Linked DNA regions of Alligator mississippiensis. The protein of the gene in region 1 interacts with the protein of each later gene in a pairwise test. Links are inferred from orthologs where the notes say so. Each region holds a gene or a part of one and is shown on either strand. Other genes may lie near its edges.

Region 1 (7,488 bases):
ATGCCTTACTGGACTGGTACTGGCAACGGGGGACGACATGGTAGGGGACCTACGGATCGGTGGTCACCTGGGGGACAGTGATCACCTAATAATAGAATGCACCATAAGACGTCGAGTGGGTAAGGTAACTAGTAGGGTGAAAGCACTGGACTTTAGGAAAGCTGATCTCAATGAGCTCAGGCGATTAGTCAAGGACGCACTGCAGAGTAGGAGTTTTGAAGAGATGGGAGCCCAGGAAGGGTGGCTGTGCCTTAAGGAAACGATCCTTCAGGCACAAAGGGAGACGATCCCGATGCGAGGAAAAAGAAGGAAAGGGGCCAGGAGGCTTCCTTGGCTGACCAGAGAAATCCAGGGCAGCCTGCGGGCCAAAAGGGGGGCACATAAAAAGTGGAAACAGGGAGAGATCACCAAAGAGGAGTATACCTCCTCTGCTTGTGCTTGTAGGGAGGCAGTTAGATGGGCCAAAGCTACCATGGAGCTGAGGATGGCATCCCAAGTAAAGGATAACAAGAAATTGTTTTTTAGATATATAGGGAGCAAAAGGAAGGCCCAGGGAGGAATAGGACCGCTGCTAAATGGGCAGAAACAATTGGTGACGGACAGGGGGGACAAGGCTGAACTCCTCAACGAGTTCTTTGCCTCAGTGTTCCTAAGCGAGGGACACGACAAGTCTCTCACTGGGGTTGTAGAGAGGCAGCAGCAAGGCGCCAGACTGCCATGCGTAGACCCTGAGATGGTGCAGAGTCACTTGGAGGAACTGGATGCATTTAAGTCGGCAGGCCCGGATGAGCTCCATCCGAGGGTGCTGAAGGCACTGGCCGACATCATTGCAGAGCCACTGGCAGGAATATTTGAACGCTCGTGGCGCACAGGCCAGGTCCCGGAGGACTGGAAAAGGGCCAATGTGGTCCCCATTTTCAAGAAGGGGAGGAAGGAGGACCCGGGCAACTATAGGCCAGTCAGTCTCACCTCCATCCTTCGCAAAGTCTTTGAAAAAATTATCAAGGCTCACATTTGCGAGAGCCCGGCAGGACAAATTATGCTGAGGGGAAACCAGCACGGGTCTGTGGCAGGCAGATCATGCCTGACTAATCTAGTCTCTTTTTAAGACCAGGTTACAAAATGCCTGGACACAGGAGGAGGGGTGGATGTCGTATACTTAGACTTCAGGAAGGCCTTCGATACGGTATCCCACCCCATACTAGTGAACAAGCTAAGAGGCTGTGATGTGGATGACTACACAGTCCGGTGGGTGGCGAATTGGCTGGAGGGTCGCACCCAGAGAGTCGTGGTGGATGGGTCGGTCTCGACCTGGAAGGGTGTGGGCAGTGGGGTCCCACAGGGCTCGGTCCTTGGACCGATACTCTTTAATGTCTTCATCAGCAACTTGGACGTGGGAGTGAAGTGTACTCTGTCCAAGTTTGCGGATGACACAAAACTGTGGGGAGAAGTGGACACGCCGGAGGGCAGGGAACAGCTGCAGGCAGACCTGGACAGGTTGGACATATGGGCGGAAAACAACAGAATGCAGTTCAACAAGGAGAAATGCAAAGTGCTGCACCTAGGGAGGAAAAATGTCCAGCACACCTACAGCCTAGGGAATGACCTGCTGGGTGGCACAGAGGTGGAAAGGGATCTTGGAGTCCTAGTGGACTCCAAGATGAACATGAGTCGTCAGTGTGACGAAGCCATCAGAAAAGCCAATGGCACTTTATCGTGCATCAGCAGATGCATGACGAATAGGTCCAACGAGGTGATACTTCCCCTCTATCGGGCGCTGGTCAGACCGCAGTTCAAGTGCGGTGCCCAGAATTGCACGCAGTACTCCAAGAGGGATGTGGATAACCTGGAGAGGGTCCAGAGAAGGGCCACTCGTATGGTTAAGGGCCTGCAGACCAAGCCCTACGAGGAGAGACTAGAGAACCTGGACCTCTTCAGCCTCCGCAAGAGAAGGTTGAGAGGCGACCTTGTGGCTGCCTATAAGTTCATCACGGGGGCACAGAAGGGAATTGGTGAGTATTTATTCACCAAGGCGCCCCGGGGGTTACAAGAAACAATGGCCACAAGCTAGCAGAGAGCAGATTTAGACTGGACATTAGGAAGAACTTCACAGTTGGAGTGGCCAAGGTCTGGAACAGGCTCCCAAGGGAGGTGGTGCTCTCCCCTACCCTGGGGGTCTTCAAGAGGAGGTTAGACGAGTATCTAGCTGGGGTCATCTAGACCCAGCACTCTTTCCTGCCTATGCAGGGGGTCGGACTCGATGATCTATTGAGGTCCCTTCCGACCCTAGCATCTATGAATCTATGCTATGAAACCATGTCAATAGATACTCAAAAGGTCCCGGGGAGAAGCGGAGGAAGCAAACCCCCCGCTCCAGGCTGTACCCATCTGACCATGGAGGGAATTCCTTCCTGCCCCCAATGCAGCGCTGGTCCGACCCGGAGCGGAGGGGCAAGACCCTCCAGCCAGGACCCTCCAGCTCCGGTCCCAGCAGCCAAAGTCCCCAGCCTGGGCTGCAGCCAACACCCAGCGCCTCCGAAGGAAGCAGAAAACTCCCGGACACACCTAGCAGACAGGGTGCGGGGGAAGCCCAGAAGCCTGGGCAATACCCGCTCAGAGGTGAAGCCAGCCGAGCCCCCCAAGCCCCGGCCGGTCGGCGAACCTGTCCTTTCTTTCCCCCCGGACACGAGCAGGGCGGTGTTAGGCGGCGGGACCCCGGCCCCGCGCCGCCGCGGGGGCAGCGCGCAGCCGGGCGGTGGCACCAGGCTGCCCCGCGGGGCGAGTGCAGCGCACGGACGGGGTCGCCGTGCCCCGGGGCTCCCGCACCCTCGCCCCCACCACCACCGGGGGGCAGGCGCCAGCGGTGCCCCCCGCCCCCCGCTCCTGCCCGGCCCGACCCCTCCCCACCTTGCCGTGCTCACCCCTCAGCCACCGTGCCACCCGCGCCGGGCTCCAGGCGCCCACCGGCTCCATGCCCGGAACAGCCCGGCCCGGCCCGGCCGCGCACCTGAGCCCGCAGGTACCTGGCAGCCGGGCGGGGTTGGCGCAGCCGCCTGCCACTCAGCCGGGAAGCCCGCCCCGGGTGGGGATCGGGATCGGGGCCCTCCCCGGGGAGGCGCTGCGCCCGGGACGGCCCCGCCCGGGGCCCTGAGCCCCCCCCACGCCCCGACACTCCCACCTCTCGGCCTCAGTGTTCCCACCTGTAACATGGGCCGGCCGCGGGTGGCTGGAGACGGCGGGAACGGGCTGGAAGGGAGATCCGGAGGTCATTTCTAGTCCAGTCCTCATCGTCTTCCAAACTGCGTAAGAGGACGGTCACCCTGGTACGACACACCTCGCGCCCACGGTGCCGCAGCGAAGGAGGGGAACCGCGGCAGCCCACGTCCTGCGTCTGCCAACGCTGCCAGTGCACCCCCGCGACATCCTGGGGACAGGCCGTGCCCCCCAGGTACGGGGGCAACCGCCCCAGTCCGTACCCGTCCGACCACGGGGGGACTTTCCTTCTGGACCCCCGGTATAGAGAGCGGCCTGCCCCCGAGCGGACAGGCAAGAGCCCCCAGCCAGGCCCCTGGCACGGCCCGGTGCCCAGAGCAGGTCTGGGTAGACTACCCTGGGCATCGGGGAGATGACGACAAGCCACAAAACCAAACGACTGCCTCCGCGTGGCCTGGCTAGACGCGCCACGGCCTCCCAGGCGCCTGCTTGTAACCTTTGGGCGGAGCAGGAATCAAGGGGGGTGGGGGGTGCAAGTGCACCCCTGGGTCCGCCCGGCACTGGCAGGGAAGGTGGGGGCTGTGAATGCTCAGCGATCCAGAGGCCAGAAGCAAGGGGGTCGGGGGACACCTCCCCCAGGACCAGTGGCACGGCAGGGCTGGGGTGCCACCTCTGCACGGCGCGGCGGGTCGGCAGGAAGGTGTGGTAGAAGCACACGGCGCTATTAATAAGCGCTGCTATGACAGCAGCCAAACACGGTGGCCTGACTCACCCCGTGGCAGCAAACAGGTCTGGGCTGACTTCACGCTGGGAACGGTTTGCCCCGACGTGAAAAGCGGGGCCTGGCATTCGGGAACGCCTCGTTCCTGCAGCCCACGCGCACCTCCCGTCTCATCGGCGCGCAGCCCCAGCCCCGTTGCATCACAGCAGGCCGGGATGTTGTTGTCATCCTCCAGGATTTCCTGGGCATTAGTCAGTGTTTTGGGTGCTGCACATTGCCAGGGTGTCAGCCTCTTGCCTGCCGCCGTGTGAGTCAAGTACCTCCTATGTAAGAGCAGTGATAGGCCACCCAGCTCTTCCACAGCCCTCTGCACTGGTGAAAAGCTGCCTGAAGGCGGACAGGATCCTTATCCCCATTTTAGAGCTGGGAAAACTGAGGCAAGTGAGGGTACTGGAGGGAGCGGTGGTTGGCTTGTGGGCAGGAAGGCTTGCTCAAAGAGTTTCCTGCGGAGGGTCTGCTCTAGCTCTGGAAGACGGGTCCACAGCCGATGCCCGGGGCTGTGAATGCTTTGTGCCCCTCTCTGACCGACACCCCCGGCCCGGCCGGTCACTGCTTCTTGCACCGTCACAAGACCCGGCTGCAAACGCTTTTGATTTCTCCTGGAGAATGGCCTGTGGCTGCTCTCAGGCTCTGAAGCGTGATGGAGCCCCACCAATGTGGTCTGCACCAGAGTACACACACGTGTGCATGCACGCACACAACCAAAACACAGTCACAAACTTTCTCTCCCACTCACACACTCAGAGCATCAAAATACAGTCTCAGTCTCTCACTATCACACACAGAGCACCAAAACACAACCAGAGTCTCCCTCACTATTACACACACACACTACCAAAACACAGCCAAGCTCTCTCCACACACATATGCACACACTTGCGTGCCGTGGTTCCCAGCCAGCCTCTCCCCAGCCTGGCAAGTCTGCCTTCAGGGCCCGGGCTGAGATAAAAGCCCCTGTGGAGGCTGCGCTGCACCCAGAGGATTCGTTTCTGTGCCAGACGCTGGACATGCTCCTGGCTCCAGCCCTTTGCTTCCCTGGGAGCAGGGGCGCCCAGTCCACGGTGCCCCCATTGCATCCCAGGGGAAGCTGCCTTGCAGCACGTGGCTGCCAGCCTTCCCAAGGGGCTGTGACTCGGAGCCGGAGAAGCTGACCCAAAAATTGCTCAGACTCACATGGTCCCTCGGCTCCCCTGGCTGCAGGGTTGGGCTGGACCCGGGGCTCCAGCATGCACTCTGACGCCCGGAGCGGGTCCCTGCCACTGGAAAGGAGTGGTCTCCCCTCGTGCGGGGTCCCTGGGGGCTGCCAGCTCGGGCAAGCGAATGCGGCAGGGAGAACGGGAGACCCGCGGTACCAGCTCGTGTTGACGCCGAGCGGAGCCAGCACTGAGCTCACGCAGCTAAACCGGGTTAAGGCCCGAGCAGCCTGTGACTTTAACCCAGGATAAGCGCGCTCACAGCCCAGGGTAAGCACACCTACCCTCTGCACCAGGACACGCGCTCAACCCCTCCTCTGCCTGGGTGCTGCTGCAATGGGAGTTAGCGAAAGCTGGGAGGGGGCAGGGGGTGCATATTGTCTAGGGCCTGGGTGGCACATCAGGGGCGCAGCTGGACCTGGGCCTGCCCTGGTGATGTGAATTTGGCTGGAGCATCACTGTGTGCCTCAGTTTCCCCTTCTCTGCTTCACCTCCCAGGCAGGCTGGGGATGCAAATCTGCCCACCTGCCAAGTGCTTGGCAGGCCCTGGAAGATGGCTCCGGTCCCTGACAGCAAGGTGCGTGGACGCGGCACTCCCTGGGGGCCAGCACCAGCTGTGACAGGCTCCAGCTGCTGGACTGGCCCCCCCGCCATGGGGCTGAAGGCTGTGCCGCACCTGCCTCTTGTACCATCCCTGCCTGCCTCATGCTCTAGCCATTGTCCCCCAGGAAGACAACAAGGGCCATTGTTCCCATTTTGCAGATGAGGAAGTGGAGGCTCAAGGCAGCCACGTCATTTGCTCCACATCCCACGACAGACCCAGCCTCCTGGAGGCTCAGCCCAGTGCTTGAGCCACAGCATCCTCCCAGGAGGGCATCTTTCCCACAATGCAGCAGGGGAGGCCTTCCCCTGTTGGTACAGTCGTCCTGGTTTCTCCGGATCCCCATCCTTTAACCCAGCGACTCTCAGGCAGGGCAGGCTGCAGCACCCTGGGGTGCCTTGAGACCCTTTCAAGCGGGGCTGACATCAGCACGGTTGGGCGTGCATACATGATTCGTGCAATATACGTAGAGATTTCACATGGGAACCTGTAGCGTTTAAAACGTCCTTCCCTGCCACGGGCTTGCCGAGTTCTTTGCAATGGAAGAATCGCGGCTAATTTGTCTGCAGTCAACAAATGAGCAAGAGCCAAGAGTTGGCATTTTCTGGGGGGAACCCGGAGTCAGCAGAACCCCTGCTTTAACCCAACCACTCGCTCATGCCCGGTGCCCTGCCCTGAGGCCCGGGCCTTCTGCAGAAGAGACTGGAAGTGACCCCAGACCAACATACCCAGAGCCCCACCCGTTACAACGCCCCTTGCCCTGCAGATGCACCCCTCCCGCGTCTCCCATGCGCTTGATGGAGCAGCGAGCGCTGATCTCCTGTGACAGCTGCTCCCGGGGCTGGCCGCAGTCGGGATCGGCATGGGGGTGGCGCATGTGCATGCGTGCAGAGGGAAGGCGGATATTTAACAGCTCCCAGCACAGCTGCCTGGGCGCCCTGGCACTCCTGCCGCCTGGCACGCAGGGAGCAGGGTCCAGTATTACAGGTGAGCGATATATCCGTTCCGGCCTGTTTCCCTGAGGGGGAGGAATTGCAGCCCCCTGGCCACAAGCAGCAGGGAATGGAGATGGGGCGGGGGATTGGGCTCCCCACACGCCCAGCTTAAAAACAGCCGTTAGCCATGGCCTGCGGTGGAAGGGACGGTGTCGGGGCTGGCGGGGGCACCCAAGCACGCAGGGCTGGGTCCCACAAGCACCCGTAGAGCTGATGTTTGAGCCAGGGACAGGGGGAAGTAGCTGCTGCCGGCCGACATCTGGGTGCTGTCAGCGGGCCCAGACCGTGCTCTGCCCCTGCGGCACCAGCCCAGCCCACCTGGTCTTTCAGTGCTGGCCGTCTCCCTATCGCTGCCAGGAAGCCAGTGGGAGCAGAGGCCCAGCCTGCGTATGCCGAGCTGTGATCATGCGGCTCCGACTCTTAACCCCAGCGTACTTCCGCCTGCTCCAGGTAATACTTGTGTCTCCCCTCACCCCATGATCTCAACCCCAGGGCTACCAGCCCCGCTGCTAGGGCATCCCTCACCCCAGCTCACCCTGAGGTCTCACGGCTCCAGGGAGGCCTCTTTGCTCACGGTCCCCTGGCCCCACTGCAGCCAGAACTGGAACCATTCCTTCATCGCATGGATCAAGGGGACTTGGGCTTGGTCACGTCCACCGCCAGAGGGTGGATGGGGCACAGGTTCCAGCTGGTTTCCACCGCCTG
Region 2 (7,984 bases), on another chromosome or scaffold:
CTTTTCCAATTTATTATTTACTCATACATCTAGTTCCCACAATCCTTAAGTGGGAATAAACTCTCCACGGTAAGCTTTGAGTGGTATCTGTTTATCTCCTCCTATCGGTGCCTTTTTTTAGAATTGCTAACGGTGTTTCTCACAACTCCTTGACTTGTGAACCAGTGTCCAATTTAAAGGTAATAAGTGCCTTGTTTGCTTTCAGGTTTGTAGTCCCCTCATCTTGTGCTGCAGCCCTATCTACCACTCTTGTGAGAAATTCATATGAGCTAGAGAGGACACTCCTTTTGTCCATGCTGCATGTTCTTTGCTGGCCTACCATACTCTTGAAAAGGGCTGTAACCTGTTGCAGATTTTTTCCATCTCCTCCCATTTGCTGAGCATTGCTGTGGCTTGAGCAGGTTGCTGCAGCATGTTCAGTTCCTCATGCTGCTGTTCATGCTGGTCTCTGACTTTTGAGTTCCCTGTGTTTTTCTGCTTCACATCTCTTTTTTGTGGTATTTTGGAATCTCCATCATATTGCACTGTCCACACTCTGCACGCCTCATTCTGGACAAGGTGATTCCCATTCCTGGCAACCTTAAGCTCTTTGCTAGGAGTTCATTGTGGGCCTTCCAGGAATCCCTTTCTGATTTTTTTTTTTTTTTTGTTCAAAATCCCAATGTAGTTATCCCTGCAAAAATTGCAACAACTTTGGCCTCAGATTACCCCACTACAGTTTCACATTCCTGTTGTCCTCTCTGATAAAAGCCACATTGTTAGTATGTTTCTTTTTTACTTGGAGTACAGTAATCCTCAAATTTCTGCACTCCAGTTTCATAGTTAGGTCTCTGCCTGAGTTAATTGAAAACTATTAAGCACATCAAGGACCGTTGCCAAAAATAAGTCTTCCCCTTTACAGTCATCCACTGCTTCTGGGGCAGAGTAACGTGCTGTTTGAACTTCTTCCAGGGGCCTTCCACATTTCCAAAGACTATCAGCAATTTGGGACCAATAATATATATATTATCAACGTATTTTTTCCCTTTTGGTGCCATGTGGTGTTCAGGCATCACTCTGAGACAAAGCAGGTTGTGGCATCAGCTTTGTTTGTGGTCTCAGCTGCAGCTGCCTTATAAAAAATAGGCTCCTACACCCCCTCCCCAAACTTCCTGTCTTGGATGCCAAACCACATAAGGACACAATTTCCAGTGCCACACTCGCTAGTATGTGCTAGACGTCTAGCTGCATTATAAAGACACCACATGGTTCCACAAAACAGATGATCTTCTATCTTAGAGCTTAAGCCTGGAATAGTAGAACATACATAGAATTTCTCCCCTTGTAGGTAGTGGTCAATGTCCCTTTTTATATATTTTTGTTAAAATTTATGTCCATATAACCTGCTGTTGTGGTTCAGTGGTAAAACCCTTGTTCTGTCATGCAGGAGACCTGGGTTTGGTTTCCCAGATGTGCATGTAACTACAGTCATTGAGGTTCCAGATTTGGTCTGGCCTTTGGATACTGTCTAAAGGGGGATGGAAGGTCTAGACAGCTTCGACTTCTCCATACTCCTGCCTAGGTGTATGCATCAAAGGTCCTGATGACATCTCATGCGTACACCATGGTTTAGAAGGATTGACAGTTGTTTACTATTGCTATGCCTGTATAGAAGGGACGTGGTGATTAGTGAGCGCACCTGCTCTTTTGGGTTGGGTCAGGAGCCAGGAGTGCGTAGCAGAAGGTGCTGTAGAGCCAGAGTGAGGTGTATTGGCCAATAAGGCAGTGCGAAATTTTGCCACCAGTTTTGTTTTGACTCTGTTTCGACCTGTTTTGAGGTTGAAACAGCAACATCAAAATGAAACAGATACGGCCAAAACAGCTTTGAAATGAAATGAGGCAAGTCAAAACGTTTTGCTGTTTCGATGCTGTTTCAACGTTTCGCCCATAGGCTATAATGGGGAAGGTCAAAACAGCCTATAGTTTTGCCATGTCTAGCCAGATTTGGATAAAACTTGCAGAAATGGTAGCTTCTTCTGAGGGCATAAAGAGTTCCAAGTTTCAAGAAGATAGGTGCAGGGAGATTGGAGAAACTGCACCCCAAAATCCTGAGCCAAATGTGTCCTCTGTATGTGTTAAGCCACAGGAGGGTCAAAACTACAGGAATGCTAGCCCCTGCTGAGGCCAGAAAGCCTGCTGTGTTTCAAGGAGATAGGTGCAGGGGGTTCAGAGAAACTGCACCCCTAAATCCTGAAAGCAAAACTCATGTCACATGTATATGTTAAGCCACAGCAGGGTCAAAACTGCAGGCTTGCTAGCCCCTGCTGAGGCCACAAAGCCTGCCAAGTTTCAAGGAGATAAGTGCAGGGGTTTGGGGGAAGCTGTAACTCAAAGCTGCAGACAAGCAAAACTCGTGACATGGGTGACACTGTGTGTGTTAGGGCACAGCAGGGTGAAAGCTGCAGGGGTGGTAGCCCCTGCTGCAGCCACGACACCTGCCAGCTGTCAAGGAAATCAGTGCAGGGGGTTTCTGGGGCCCTGCACCTCTAGCTGCTGACAGGCAAAACTTGTGAAATGGGTGCTTGTGCAACTGACTGAGTCTGTCTTGGGGCCGTTGATTGTATGTATTGATTATTTCCTCTCCTTAGTCTGTGGTTTTGTAGGTGTTAATCCATGCTTGTTAAGTTGTTATGTAGTAGCTAGGTCCTGTGTATTGAGCTAGTCCCTGAGTGAATCATGATTAATTGGTAACTGGTAACACAGTAGCTTAGCAGCCAGGCCTGCAGTAGTCCCTCCCCCACCCTCCAGTGCCCGAAGACAGACACAGGTGCACAAGCACCCATGTCACGAGTTTTGCTTATCCACAGCTTGAGGTGCAGTTTTCCCTAAAGCCCTGCACTTATCACAGGGGTGGGCAATTATTTTGGGCAGAGGGCCACTTACTGAGTTTTGGCAAGCCATCAAGGGCTATATGACAGGCAGCTCAGGGCAGATTAATATTAATTTTCTAAATTTTTTAGGGGCCCTGCAGGCCAGATAGAATGGCCTGGCGGGCTGCATCCGGACCCCAGGCCACATTTTGCCCACCTCTGACTTATCTTCTTGAAATCTGCCATGTTCTGTGGCCTGAGCAGGGGCCACCACCCCTGCAGTTTTCAGCCCGCTGTGCCTTAACACACATAGGGTTATCTATATCACGAGTTTTGCCTGTCAGCAGCTTGAGGTGCAGTTTCCCCCAAGCCCCTGCACCTATCACCTTGAAACTTGGCAGGATTTGTGGCCTTACCAGGGGCTACCACCCCTACAGTTTTGACTCCACTGTGGCTTAACACATACATGTGACATGAGCTTTCCTTTCAAGAATTTGGGGTGCAGTTTTCCCCAAAGCCCTGCACCAATCTTCTTAAAACTTAGCAGGCTCTGTAGTCTCAGAAGGGGCTAGCAAGCCTGCAGTTTTGACCCCGCTGTGTCTTAACACATACACATGACACAAGTTTTACTTTCAGGATTTTGGGGTGCATTTTCTCTGAACCCCATGTACCTATCTTCTTGAAACTTAGCATGCGTCATGCCCTCAGAAGATACTACTATTCTTGCAAGTTTCATCCAAATCTGGCCAGAAATCACAAAATTGTAGCCTGTTTCAACCTTCCCCATTATATCCTATGGGCGAAACATCGAAACAGGGTCAAAACAGCAAAACGTTTCGACGGAACGAAATGGAACTGCCATTTCAACTCAAAATAAAAGTCAAAATGAAACACTGTTCTGTCAAAACATTGGTCAAGATGAAATGTTTCTGCTTCACACAGCCCTATTGGCCAATATGTCAAGACTGGAATAACAATGGGTGCTACATGCCACAATTGAAATGCATCAGGGTGGGGTATCCAGTCCTGGGGTGGCGTGGTATGGTTTCCTGAAAGTGAGCAGTGAATTCTTCAGTAGAGCTGTGTTGGGATCACGGTACTGGAACAGTAAGCTGTACACCAGGACAAAGACAGGGAAATGTGTGAGATACAGGTTTGGAGAGTGAGGGATTCAGTCGGTATAAATGAGGTCTGTCAGCAGAGCTCTCTATATGACTGGATTGATGGAGAAATCAGGAGGTCAAGACTGATCAGTGCATTGCTTGATCTATATGGGTCCCCTGCAGGGTTGTTCTGTTGGATCTCCTCTCACCTGAGGGACCTATAAATGGTAGCTTACACTGGACAACGTTTTTCACCCCCCTCCGAAAGGAAATTTGTAGCCATCTTCCTTGCAAGACAACCTTGACTATGGAATCTGAAGGGTGAAGACTGGTTGCTGATTCATCCTAAAGACCACAAGCTATTCACAGTCTTCCCTAGGGCTGCCTGGCTATGGTCTTCAGGATGCCAGTCACTCACAATCATAGAGTGTTTGATTCTTGGCAGGATGCCAGGCCAGTGTTAGGTTTAGAGGCGGTGGTTATACCATCTTGCTGTGTTGTTGACGGTGTTGGGAGGCTAAACTGGAATGGCCCAGAATGATACAGAGCAGGGTGCTGCTGCATTGTCAAAGCAGTGGGAGTCTTGCCAGGCCCATGCCCATTGGGCATGGAAAAGTGGCATCCTCTCAACATTTGCAGCTGTAATTTGGACAAGGGGAAAGCTTTGTGCCCAGACAGCCATACTCCTCATGTGCTAGATTTTTCTTAGTCTGTGCTGATTCTTTGCCCTGCTGATTTGGAAAGGGGGATCTCAAGGTGTGCACGCCAGCTGCTGAGCTTTCTGTGTGGGCATGAAGGCCCCTCCTGCAGAAGTTATGAGGGCTGTCACGTACAAAAGACCACGGACATAGCAACCAAGAGTGATTAGCTTAAGGGGAAGTGTGCAGCCTTCCGGGGCTGGAGAGAGAGGAAGAGAGTAAGTGACAGAGAGACTGACTGCTCTGCCAGCTAAAGCCCTCTATTTTTCATCAGAGCAGACATAGCTCGGGTCAGGTCAGTGCCAGCTCCCTCCATACTGGGACACTCCCTCCATACTGGGACAACTCTAGGCTCGATCCACTCCTTCCTGATGATGCTAGTCAGAAGAGAACGCATTTGAGATGGGAGTAAAGGATCCAGGTCATGTCATTTCATTGGCAACAGGAACCTACTGGAGGCCCACACAAATATTGGAATATTCATCCACTCTCTACCAATTGCTGAGCTACTTTGAGTTGTGGTAGGGGGGGAGTCTTTCTCCATCATAAAACCACACCCTAAGGCAGCTGTTTTATGCTCCCTCTGTCTCTAGAGCAGGCTGGATAAAACCAGAGCACAGTCACCCCCAGCAATGAGCTGAGCGAGTGCCAATGGAAAGACACACTGGCTTTCTCTTGTGGGTTTTTATGTAAGAAGTAACCGGAGTCTGCGTGCTTCTAACAGTCGGAGCTTGTAGTTTCCCTCACCCATATGAGCTTGTGGGGAGGAACCAGGGGGTGGAGCCGCAGCTCCTCCAGCTGACACAATTTTAGACTCTGGGGTGAAGTCGCATTAATTCTGCCAGACGCCTGAAAGAGCAGCGGGGAAAGAGGAACTCGCAGTCGCACAAAGAGAATTTGCCTCTGAGTGACATTTCAGCATGGATGTTTGTCCCATTGGTAAGTCTTTCCTTAAAGAGATTTGGCCACATCTTCTCCCTGCCTTGTTGATCAAAGTGCTGCTCATTCTGTAAATGCTGTCAGGTCAGATTGACTCAATTAGGGCTAGCAGCTGCCATGGGGATGGGACGGGTGAACATAGCCAAGAGGTTTCTTAGAAGCTCTGCAAAGGGCTTGTAGTTTTGTGGACGATGTGCTATAGGGAGAGGTGTCTTCTCTGTCGAGGTATTGGCTTCCCCCCCTACCTCCAGACAGTTCCTCCCTGACGTCAACCAGTGTCACCCTACCGACTTGAATTGGAGCTGGGTCAGAACTGTATTCAGAGGCTGACCCTCAGCCTAGGTAGGTGGCAAAAGGGTAGAGTGCAATTTTCCTGGCCCAAGCTAGGGTATCAGGAGTACGTGGCACTTGGGATGGTGGTCAACATGTGACTACAGACAATGGTTTCCTTTGATGTAGCCTCAGCGTGACAGGAATAGAGGTGCAGAAAGAGCAGACTGCAAATGCTACAACATAGTCCTCCTGCACCAGGCAGGGCTGATTCACCCTTGCACTGCACCCAGCATAGTCATTTCTACCAGGATCAGACCAGTGGACAGTGGCTGTAAATTACCAGTGTCTTCATGTGGTGCAAATCTGCACCGACTGTGCATTGCAAGTGACTACCTGGGGCACAGTAATAATAAATCAGCCCCCCAGAGAGGAGGGTTGTTAGCACCTGATGAAGCAGTCTGTTGCTGACAAATGCTTGTGCTTCTTTGAACCAGTCACTCTCTAGGACAGTGGTTCTGAACCTTTTTAGATTCAAGGACCCCTCAGAAAATGCCAGCTTTGAGCTTTCACTTGTTTTTTAACTACAGAAAAATAATAGAGCAATTCTTCTGTTGCAAAGAACTCAGGAAAACCACAATAGGTCAAAATATCTGTGACACTATGGATTCCTATTTTAAAATCTCTCTGCTCATCCTGTGAAGGTTTTTGCACACCTAACAGTGCTAATATTACATGGCACTGCAGGACACCCTTAAAAGTATATTGCAGTGCTCTGGTTGAGAAACACCAACCTGAAGTGCCACCCTGCCCTGCCTCTACCTGACTTTAGGATAGCACAGCTAAATACTTTTCCACCTGCCCCCACCCCCACCCCAAGAGAAGAAGAAAGATTGATCAGCCTGAATCTCTCGCTTTCCTTGCAGCAGTTGTTTTAGAGGGGTATAGAGAGGCAGAAGTAGGTGGGAGGAAATTAGCCACAAACCCAGGGGCTGAGAAAGATCAAAACTCTTTGATTTCCTGGTTTGCTGGGTGCAGTGCAGCAGACCTGGGATCTAGTAGACAAAGGTGCTCTGGAGGCAATCCCAAAAGGCAGATATTGGGTGTGACCCATGCTGAGAAAGGACATGAGGTTTCAAGGGAGAGGACACACTTTCTCCAGGGGGAAAAATACAAAGGATCTTAACACAAGGACACAGCTGCCATCTGTCTCTGATATCACCTCACATCCACATAGATGGCATAGCTAAGGCCATGAACAAGGAGTGGGAGCTGAAAACCCTCTGGTCCCCACGTCAAATCCTGCACCAAGGGGCCCGATTTCCTTGAAGTTCTCTCAAGCTGTTGCAAGAGAGGCTGGGCACTGAGCGCTTCTCAGTCTCTGGCCACTTCCTTTAGCTGTCTAAAGGGGACTAGAGTTCTTAGGAAAATCAGGCCCTTAGTGCCTGAAAGGAAGTGTTGCAACCAGCTCATAGACTAGCAAAACCAGGGCAGGGAGAGCCCTCACCTCTCTGTACAAAGCAGGGACATATTTTTTTCAGGTTAGTTGTTCAAGGAAAACGTGGCTCTCCAAATGCATTGTCTGCCATGTAAGGGAAGTTGTCCTACTTTTGTGAATAGACAGAATGAGTTCTTTTTACCATTTGGGATTTGTCCTGGAGTGGTGCCCCAGTATCCTGTGATGTTAGGCGCTGTACAAACACAGAACGAGATGATGGACCAGTTGCAGAAGACCTACTTTGAAGCAGTGCAAAAATGCCTAGCTACCCCAGGACCACAGCTAGCCAGCACCACTTCAAAAGCCAGCCTCACTCTCTGTGTCAGAGGCATTGTCTAGGGATCAAGAGATTACATTGATTTGGTGGCTCATTCAGTGATAAAAGCTTGCTGATCCGTAGTTTTTGGAGAAATTGTTCTGCCACCAGTGGGCCTCAGCTTCCATCAGAGTCCATGGCTGAGGTGGAAAGGTAGACACATTCACCTGTGCTGTGGACTTACACTGGGTGTGCTGCTATACAAGAGAACTGTATGCAGATGGAGACGTTGGTTCCGTTAGGTGAGGGAGAGTCAGCTTCTATGCCGGAGCAGGGGGGAACGGATGGGCTAGGTTCAAAATGCTGGCAAG
Region 3 (7,487 bases), on another chromosome or scaffold:
CTTGCTCCTCCACTCAGGGTCAGTCCAGCTGCTATATTTGGGATCAGGGAGGAATTCCCCCCCTATCCCCATGGTCATATCAGCATAGACTGATTTCCTCTGTAGCGGGGGACATGGTCTTCTTCTTTGAATCCATCAAACTTGTTTTAACAAACTGCTTCCTGTCCTTGCAGTGCCAGGCACTGGTGATGTGTAGGGGGTGCAGGAGTGCCGTGAGTGTGGCAGTGCACCCCTTGCAAAAAGGCACTGCCGACACTGCCAGCAGCATCTGCGGGCGGTGGCCACTCGCCACTGCCCCCCTGCTGCTGACACCGCCTGCAGGTGGTCTGTGATGGGCACTGGCTGCCACTGCTGGCAGTGTCTGCAGGTGGTTGCTAACCACTGGTCGGCAGTCACCAGCCCTCTCCCTTGCCACCGACAGCACCACAGCCGCCTGTGGAAGCTCCCCACTTGCTGCTGCCATGGTCCTGCTGCCACCTGCAGGAGCTTGTTGTGCCTCCCCAGCCTCCAGGGGCACGCAGCGTTCATGGTGCCAGAGCATTAATAGAGACCTCATTCCCCTGCTTTACCAGTAGCAAGTTACTATGTGTTTGGTTTTTTTTTTTAAATGCCCAATGTTTTTGGGCATTGTGGTTGGTAGTTGTGCAAGAAGGTTGTTTATGCAGTTTTAGGGATAGGTTAGACAAACACTTGTATAGGTTTAGATGGGAATGATCCTACCTTTAGGAGAGGGTAGGACTAGATCAGGGGTTGCCAACCTGTGGCACAAGTGCCAAAAATGGCACAGGCAGCCTGTATGTGTGACATGCAGCAGATCAGAGAGGGGACAGCCAGCACAGCAGCAGATAGGGCAGGGAGCATAAGGCAAAACAGGAGATCAGGCAGGAACCACAGGACAGGAAGCAGAAAGTAGAGCAGCAAATTGAACAGAGGAAGGGGATTGGAGAGGCACGTGGGGAAGGGTGTAGGGCTAATTTGTGTTATGCCTGCTAAAATAGTTGACCCCCACTGAACTAGATGACTTCTTGAAGTCCAAGTTCTCTATGATTCTATGGTATAAATGGTGCATGTGTCGCATATTAGCTCTCTAACTGGGAGTATCACATCAAGTAACATCTGGCCTGTAATGGAAAAAATATTAGATGGCAAATTACTACTTAATGAAAATTGTTAAGCAAAATAGCGGTGATAAATGAACAAAAAAGACAAAATTGAACCAAACCTAAAAAAGAAAGTAAGACAAACTGGATTGCCTCAAACCCAACAAATACCTGTCTGTCAACAATTAATAGGACTAACTGTGCCAACTTCAAAGTTCCTGGAAGATTTTTAGCTGTCCTAAAGATTAAGGCAATTCAATAAAAGATATTTTTTTACACTGAATAGCAGGTTCTGAAATTCTAAGAGCATAACATATAATATGTCTGAATCCAAAATTAATTAAATATGAAAATGTGAGAAAAATGAGACATAACTTGATAGAGGAAAGTATAAAGAACACGCAGCCTTTAGAAAGCTGATTTAAAACAACAATACAGTGTAAAGGGAAACAGTGCACCTGGGAAATCAGGGTCCAAAATATAATACTCACCAGGGCTCCAGAAGAGAAACCTGATCCTGTTCTATTTGCAGAATAATTAATTTTGAATATAAAGTGGATATTAAAGAGGCACTCATCTCTGTGGGTAAAATGATACAAAGATGAAAATGACAGTTGGAGAAAACAGATTTATAATGGAATAAAAAAAACGGACTAAAAGGTACATTACAGCTGAGCAGTATGAATCCCATTTGACACATATGGAAGGTAAGGTAGAGAAGCAAAGGGTTTGATCTTAATAAATTCTATAAATTCTTACACACACACACACTCTCTCTCTCTCTCTCTCTCTCTCACTACTATGTAAAGATTAACTGGAATAATCCTGTAAGTAGAACCTGAACTGAAGTCAGGGAATTTTATACAGTACAAACTTTGATTTCTAGCCCTAACTAATTGCAAAACATCTCTTTACTGTAGTATCTAAGCACTTCCTAATGGAAAAATATATTTTTCAGTTGCTGTTTGCACCATTGAAGTCAATGGGAGTTTTTCCATTGAATGAGTTGGAGGGAGGACTCTGTTGTGGTTTGATTTTTCTTACATTTTTTTTGCATTGGAGTTTAACTTGGAACAAAAAGGAATAATAATTTTAAGTTCAACTGAAAAAGCACAGAGGAAAAAACTAGTGACAAACAAAAGCAGTAATACAAGATAATGCATCTAGGCAGGCACTGCAATAGAGGTGAAATGAAAAGCCAATAATCTGTGTACAGTCAAATTTTAATTTTGCTCAATTGTATTAAAACCTGATTACTATATTGTTAAATATGCACCTTTTAAACATCTCCTTTCTTCTACTACTGTACTGTGTAATCATGTTATTGTTTCTATGTGGAAGGTAATAAATACATGTAATACAATTTAATTAAGAAAATAAAATAAGAGGACTATTTTAAAGGGTGGATGAGATTTACATGATTTCTCACAGAGCAAAAAAGTTTCCTGTGCAGAGGTTACTTGAGCCAAACACTAGGGACAGGTACAGACATTACACTTGAACAGCATAAGTCATGAGAAACGGGTCTATACCTGTAACAGAACAGAAATTCGGCACATATAGATGGATTAAAAATGGCAGAACCAGATCTATGATTTGCCAATCCCACCAAAGGGCAAACATGTTCTGTTTGCTACCAATCTAAACTACGCTGCTTACAGAAAACTGCGTAATTTAGACCAATTCCACCTTGGACTTTTTTGAACCTAGCCTGAGTCTCAGCAAAACTGATTATACCATAATTACCACCTCTAAGCAGTGGTGTTACAAGGTGGGTGGCACTGATACAACTTCCTGTGCTCTAACCTGACCAACACCAGGTCATGTTAATGTAAGTTAATTTTCCTATATTATAGGAAATAATTTATTATAGAAGATAATTATAGTGGCACACACCTCATATTGTAGGAAAATTAAATAATGCATATTCCTCATTGCTGACCCCTTCCTTCCCACACCTTCTTCTCTGTATAAAATATTGACATCAAATGATTAAGAGTAAAATAACAAAAGAGACTTTATTCTATTCTCTATTGTGTGGATGCTTCTGTTCACCGGTGTGGGTTTGGATACTGTCACCCCAGCTCCTTCAAAAGGTCTGAGGTCCTGAAAGCAGCACTATGGGCCTGACAAATCCCATAAAAAGGATTCTGAGGTGAGCATGTCACATGCGCAGTACAGACAACCCTCACTTAGCGCTCTTACTTGGTTCCTGAAAAACTGAGCATCAAATGAAACGAGTGTTAAGTATTTGACTACCCAAGACGGAGACCACAATTGTTTTTAATGACCTAAGATGGTGACCACGAGCATTATGACGAAACTTGCAGAGCGCTAAGTGAAATCAGGTATCAATTTAAAATGAGCGTTATAATGAAATAGCATTAAGTGAAACAGCGTTAAATGGGGGTTGCCTGTATGTAAACTTACTATGAAAAACGCGTCTCCCTGACACTCTTGGGTGCTCGTGGAGAAGCGGATATTTAGCCCCCATACAGTGTTGAACGGGGGGGGGTCTCAGCAAATGTACAAACATGAGGGGGCCACGAAGCAGCCCAGACTGACCGCAGTGGTTTCAGGGGGCTGCAGAAAGGACCTGCAGCCTTGAACAATGCGTGCCCCCGAGGCCTGGGGGGGACACAGCGACCAGCTACCGGCGGTGGCAGCGGTGTTGGCAGTGGAGCACTCTCACAGGCGGTCATGGTGGTGTCAGCGGTGGGGAAGGTGGTGAGAGCTGACCAGCGATCGAGGACCTCCCACAGACGCCACCCGCAGCGTGGATGGCGAGGGGTGCGAGGTGTCGGCCCACGACCGCAGGGGGTGCGCTGCCAGTCTCAGGGGGTGCACGTGCACCTGCGGCGCCAATGCCTGCAGCTATGGCTCGCGGCCCGCTGCACTGCCAACCCAGTTGCCCGTTTTCCCAGTTGGGTCGGTGGCGAGCGATAAAACCCTGGGAAGAACCGGCAAGGGGCGCGCTACCCAGCGCAGGCCCCGTCCCCTGGCAAGTGGCCCCCCAGCCCCTGCTCTGCAGCCGCCCTGCCCGCAGGCCCGCTGCCCCACAGCCCCGCTGCCCCTCGCGGCCCCTCGGCTCGTGTGCGCAGCCAAGGCCGGGCGCTGCCTCCGCGGCTCGGGGCCGGGCGCCAGTGTGCGGACGCGGCGCCACACGGCACTGTTTGCCCGGGGCTGCCACAACGCGGCGCGGCTCGGCGCGGCGAGGGTGCCCGTGTCCCGCGCGTCTCGGGCCGCCCGGCGGCGCCAGGAGCGGCGGCTCGGTCCCTCCCCGCGCGGTCACATGAGGGCGGGGGCGGATCGCGGGGCGGCGGCTGGGGCTGGGGTTGTCGCTGGCGGCGGGCGGCGGACGGCGCCGAGGGACGCAGCGCCCGGCATGGACGAGGAGGGCGGCGGAGGAGGCGGTGAGTGGCGGGGCCGGGCCGGTGCGCAGGCCGCGGGCAGGGGCCGGGGCCCTCGCCTCGCCTCGCCGCTGCCACCGCCTGCCCCGAGCCCAGCCTGCCCGTGTGCCTCCCCTGCGCACGGTCTCCCTCAGCCGCCGCCCCGGCTCCCCTCACGCGTCTCCCCGCGTGGCTGTGGGCACGAAGCGGCCAAGCGCTGTGGGAGGAGACGCGTGGCAGCGGGGTCCCGGGTGGCGGCTCCTGCCATCGCGGGTGCGGGGGCGGCTGGGCCGGGGACGGCTGGAGGCTCTTGGCCCCCTTGACTCCCTCGCCCCCCACAAAGGTCAGGCATTTCTGAGGGAGGGGGGAAAAACGAAGCCACATTTGCTCAGGGAAGTGCTGGGAAAGAAAAGTGCTGGTGTTGCAAAGAGCCTGAAGAAAGGAAGAGAGGCAGCCTGTGTCGGGTACGAGCGGAGGGACAGAAGCAGTCGGTGTGTTTGTCTACAGATGGCCGAGCGGTGCAGTCGACTTGCCCCCGCGGTGTCACGCTGACAGCCGGGCGCTTGTTCTCACAATGAAACCCTTGCGCTTTCTCTAGGTATCTGCTGCTCCCGGCAAAAACGATGTGTACCTTGCAGCAAATGTACAGTCAAGAGGATAATTATGTTCTGCAACAGCTTCGTGTTTGTGTGTGTCATCCTAGTGTAGAAGCGATGGTAATCACTGAGTGGTTCTTCCAGTTTAAACAGGGTAGATGATTTCAAGACACAGTACGCTGGTGTTTCCAAATACACCTTTTAGAAAATAGTGACATAGGTTTTGCAGCATCCTTTAATACAGCTACTGCCTTTCAAGGCTTAAGACTGTGCATCAACACAATTTAAGAAACCTCAAACCAGATTTGCAGAGTTTCTATTTAATTTCAGTGCATTCTGTGTATTTAGCTTTTGTCTGAATTGTCAAATCTTGAATATCAGCAGCAATAAAGATGCTACCTAGGTGTAGTCCAGATCGGTGGTGGTATTCCAAGATGAAGTAGTTCAGTTTAGTTAGAACTCTTGATTAACAACCATCATCTGGTAGGAATGAATGTTTTTGTTTCTTTATAAATATGTGAAGCAGTAGTTAAAAGCAGTATGATTAATACTTCAGCACTGTGGGCATGTCTGCATGAGACATGTTAATGCGCATTAGCCTAAACAGGCATGTATCTACATGTGCATGCCCTTAATGCCCATTAAAAATGGCAAAATTAGGCTAATGCAGGTATCAAATTTAGGTGCTTTTAGTTAAAGCACAGTATGGCACGTATAGACACAACCTGGCACTAACTTTAGTGCCCAGGGCTGCCCAGCCGCTAGGGGCACATGGCAGGGTTGCAGGGACTTGGTGCCAAATGCACCAACTGTAGTGCCTAGTCCTTGCATCTATAGACATGTGCCAAAAATTATTTAATGTGTATTAGCTTAATCTTCATTGAATTTTGTCGCGCTTAAATGCATGTGTAGATGCGCTGTAAAGGTAATAGGATCTGGAATCAAGCGGGTATAGCGAGTGTTTTGATAAGCGGGGAAAAAAATATCTTGATGAATCAGTAGCATCACAGAAAACCATCCTACAAACAGTGTCTGCAAACGTGAATATTCTCATCCATTATTTCTCTTACTTGTTTCGTCAACAATAGATTTAACTTTCCTTAAAAAATGAAAAAGCAAAAAATGCATTAAAAGTGCAGATTGATATTTACTTTGAAAATTTCTAATACCAAACATTCTAATAGTGAACAGCAGAAATAGTAGTAAATAAAATCTTCCTGTTCAAAAAAATTAGTATGCTTATACTATATGATTGAATTTTCACCTGTACTGAGGTTGCATTAATATGCTTATTAATATTGAATATAATTAACTTGATATCTTTCCTTTATTTAAGTTTGTCTCAGCTCAAAAGACATTTCAGTACTGTGGACCAAATGAAAAACTGGTTTCTTAACCCTTGAGTCCAATTCTGTTATATGAAGACAGACCCTTTTTGAGGTTCTGAGCATCCTCATCTCCCACTAAGTCCATTGGCTTTGAAACAGTTAACAGTTTTGTAAAGATTGGGACCTCAAAATGCATGTATTTGTCGCCAAAGCAGTCAAATTCAGTTTTTTCCCCCAGATAACTTGTCACGTCTTTAATAAATAAATAAAAAATCTAGTTGACTATACAGTTACCATCCTTTGGTTGTCTTCATTAGGTTATAGACTAAGTTAACGAAATGGCTGAGGTTTTACAATAAGTTTGTGAACAGTTACATTAGCTTCCTGGGAATATTAAGTAAAAAAAATCACAAGAAAAACAGCATTAGGTCTTTTCTTGCATGATCAATACATTCACTAATACAATATGATAAACTCACTTATTAAAAATAACTCATTTTTGGGAATGACATAGAATGAAAGAAATGGTTTTCTTCTGTCAGTAGAATGCAGGTGAAAAGTAAAGAGTTGTTTTGAAATCTAGTCAGCTTTATGCTGAGTTAACAGTAGTCTTGCCTGGAAGACCCACAAACTGTGTATTAAATTCACAAAGTAAGTGAACTGGAGAGAGTGACTGAATGGTTAGGACATTGGACTGGGATCCAGAAGACACATTTTTGTATGTCACCGGTTTGCTGTGAACTTGGTTCACCTCCTTTTCCTTGTGTTCCTTATCTGTACAGTGGAGGTAGCTCTGCTTATGTCCTTAAAGCATTTTGTAAAATGCTTTAAGATCTGTGGATAAAAGGTTAGAAGTTATTATTTTAAGGAGATTTGATGGAGGAGCAGATGCTAATTCAGGACATGCTCGTTATTTGTTATTATTATTTTTTCTCCATGTAGTTTAAATGTGGGTAAAAAGGTCTATATTATACTTTCTGGTTTCATACAAAACTATTTTGGTGCTTTGATTTGATTTCAGTAGGGTCTTTGTGCATGCGCCAGGGTTAGGATATGATCCAAATGAATTACTAT

Evidence for each region. The genes of interacting proteins can lie anywhere in the genome.
Region 2: the proteins of CNKSR1 (region 1) and CYTH4 interact in binary tests that used the Homo sapiens proteins (3 or more experiments, as listed by UniProt). The two-hybrid records come from large-scale screens. The link is inferred for Alligator mississippiensis from reciprocal best matches to the Homo sapiens genes CNKSR1 and CYTH4.
Region 3: the proteins of CNKSR1 (region 1) and CYTH3 interact in binary tests that used the Homo sapiens proteins (3 or more experiments, as listed by UniProt). The two-hybrid records come from large-scale screens. The link is inferred for Alligator mississippiensis from reciprocal best matches to the Homo sapiens genes CNKSR1 and CYTH3.

What each region holds. Positions count from the first base shown.
Region 1 is NC_081829.1:3,230,135-3,237,622, forward strand, and holds the start of CNKSR1 (connector enhancer of kinase suppressor of ras 1), read right to left. Parts: upstream 3,025-7,488; 5' UTR 2,974-3,024; coding exon 2,922-2,973; intron 1-2,921. UniProt on the Homo sapiens protein: May function as an adapter protein or regulator of Ras signaling pathways.
Region 2 is NC_081827.1:100,459,789-100,467,772, reverse strand, and holds the start of CYTH4 (cytohesin-4), read left to right. Parts: upstream 1-4,908; 5' UTR 4,909-5,570; coding exon 5,571-5,589; intron 5,590-7,984. UniProt on the Homo sapiens protein: Promotes guanine-nucleotide exchange on ARF1 and ARF5. Promotes the activation of ARF factors through replacement of GDP with GTP.
Region 3 is NC_081836.1:46,925,505-46,932,991, forward strand, and holds the start of CYTH3 (cytohesin-3), read left to right. Parts: upstream 1-4,411; 5' UTR 4,412-4,485; coding exon 4,486-4,513; intron 4,514-7,487. UniProt on the Homo sapiens protein: Promotes guanine-nucleotide exchange on ARF1 and ARF6. Promotes the activation of ARF factors through replacement of GDP with GTP. Plays a role in the epithelial polarization.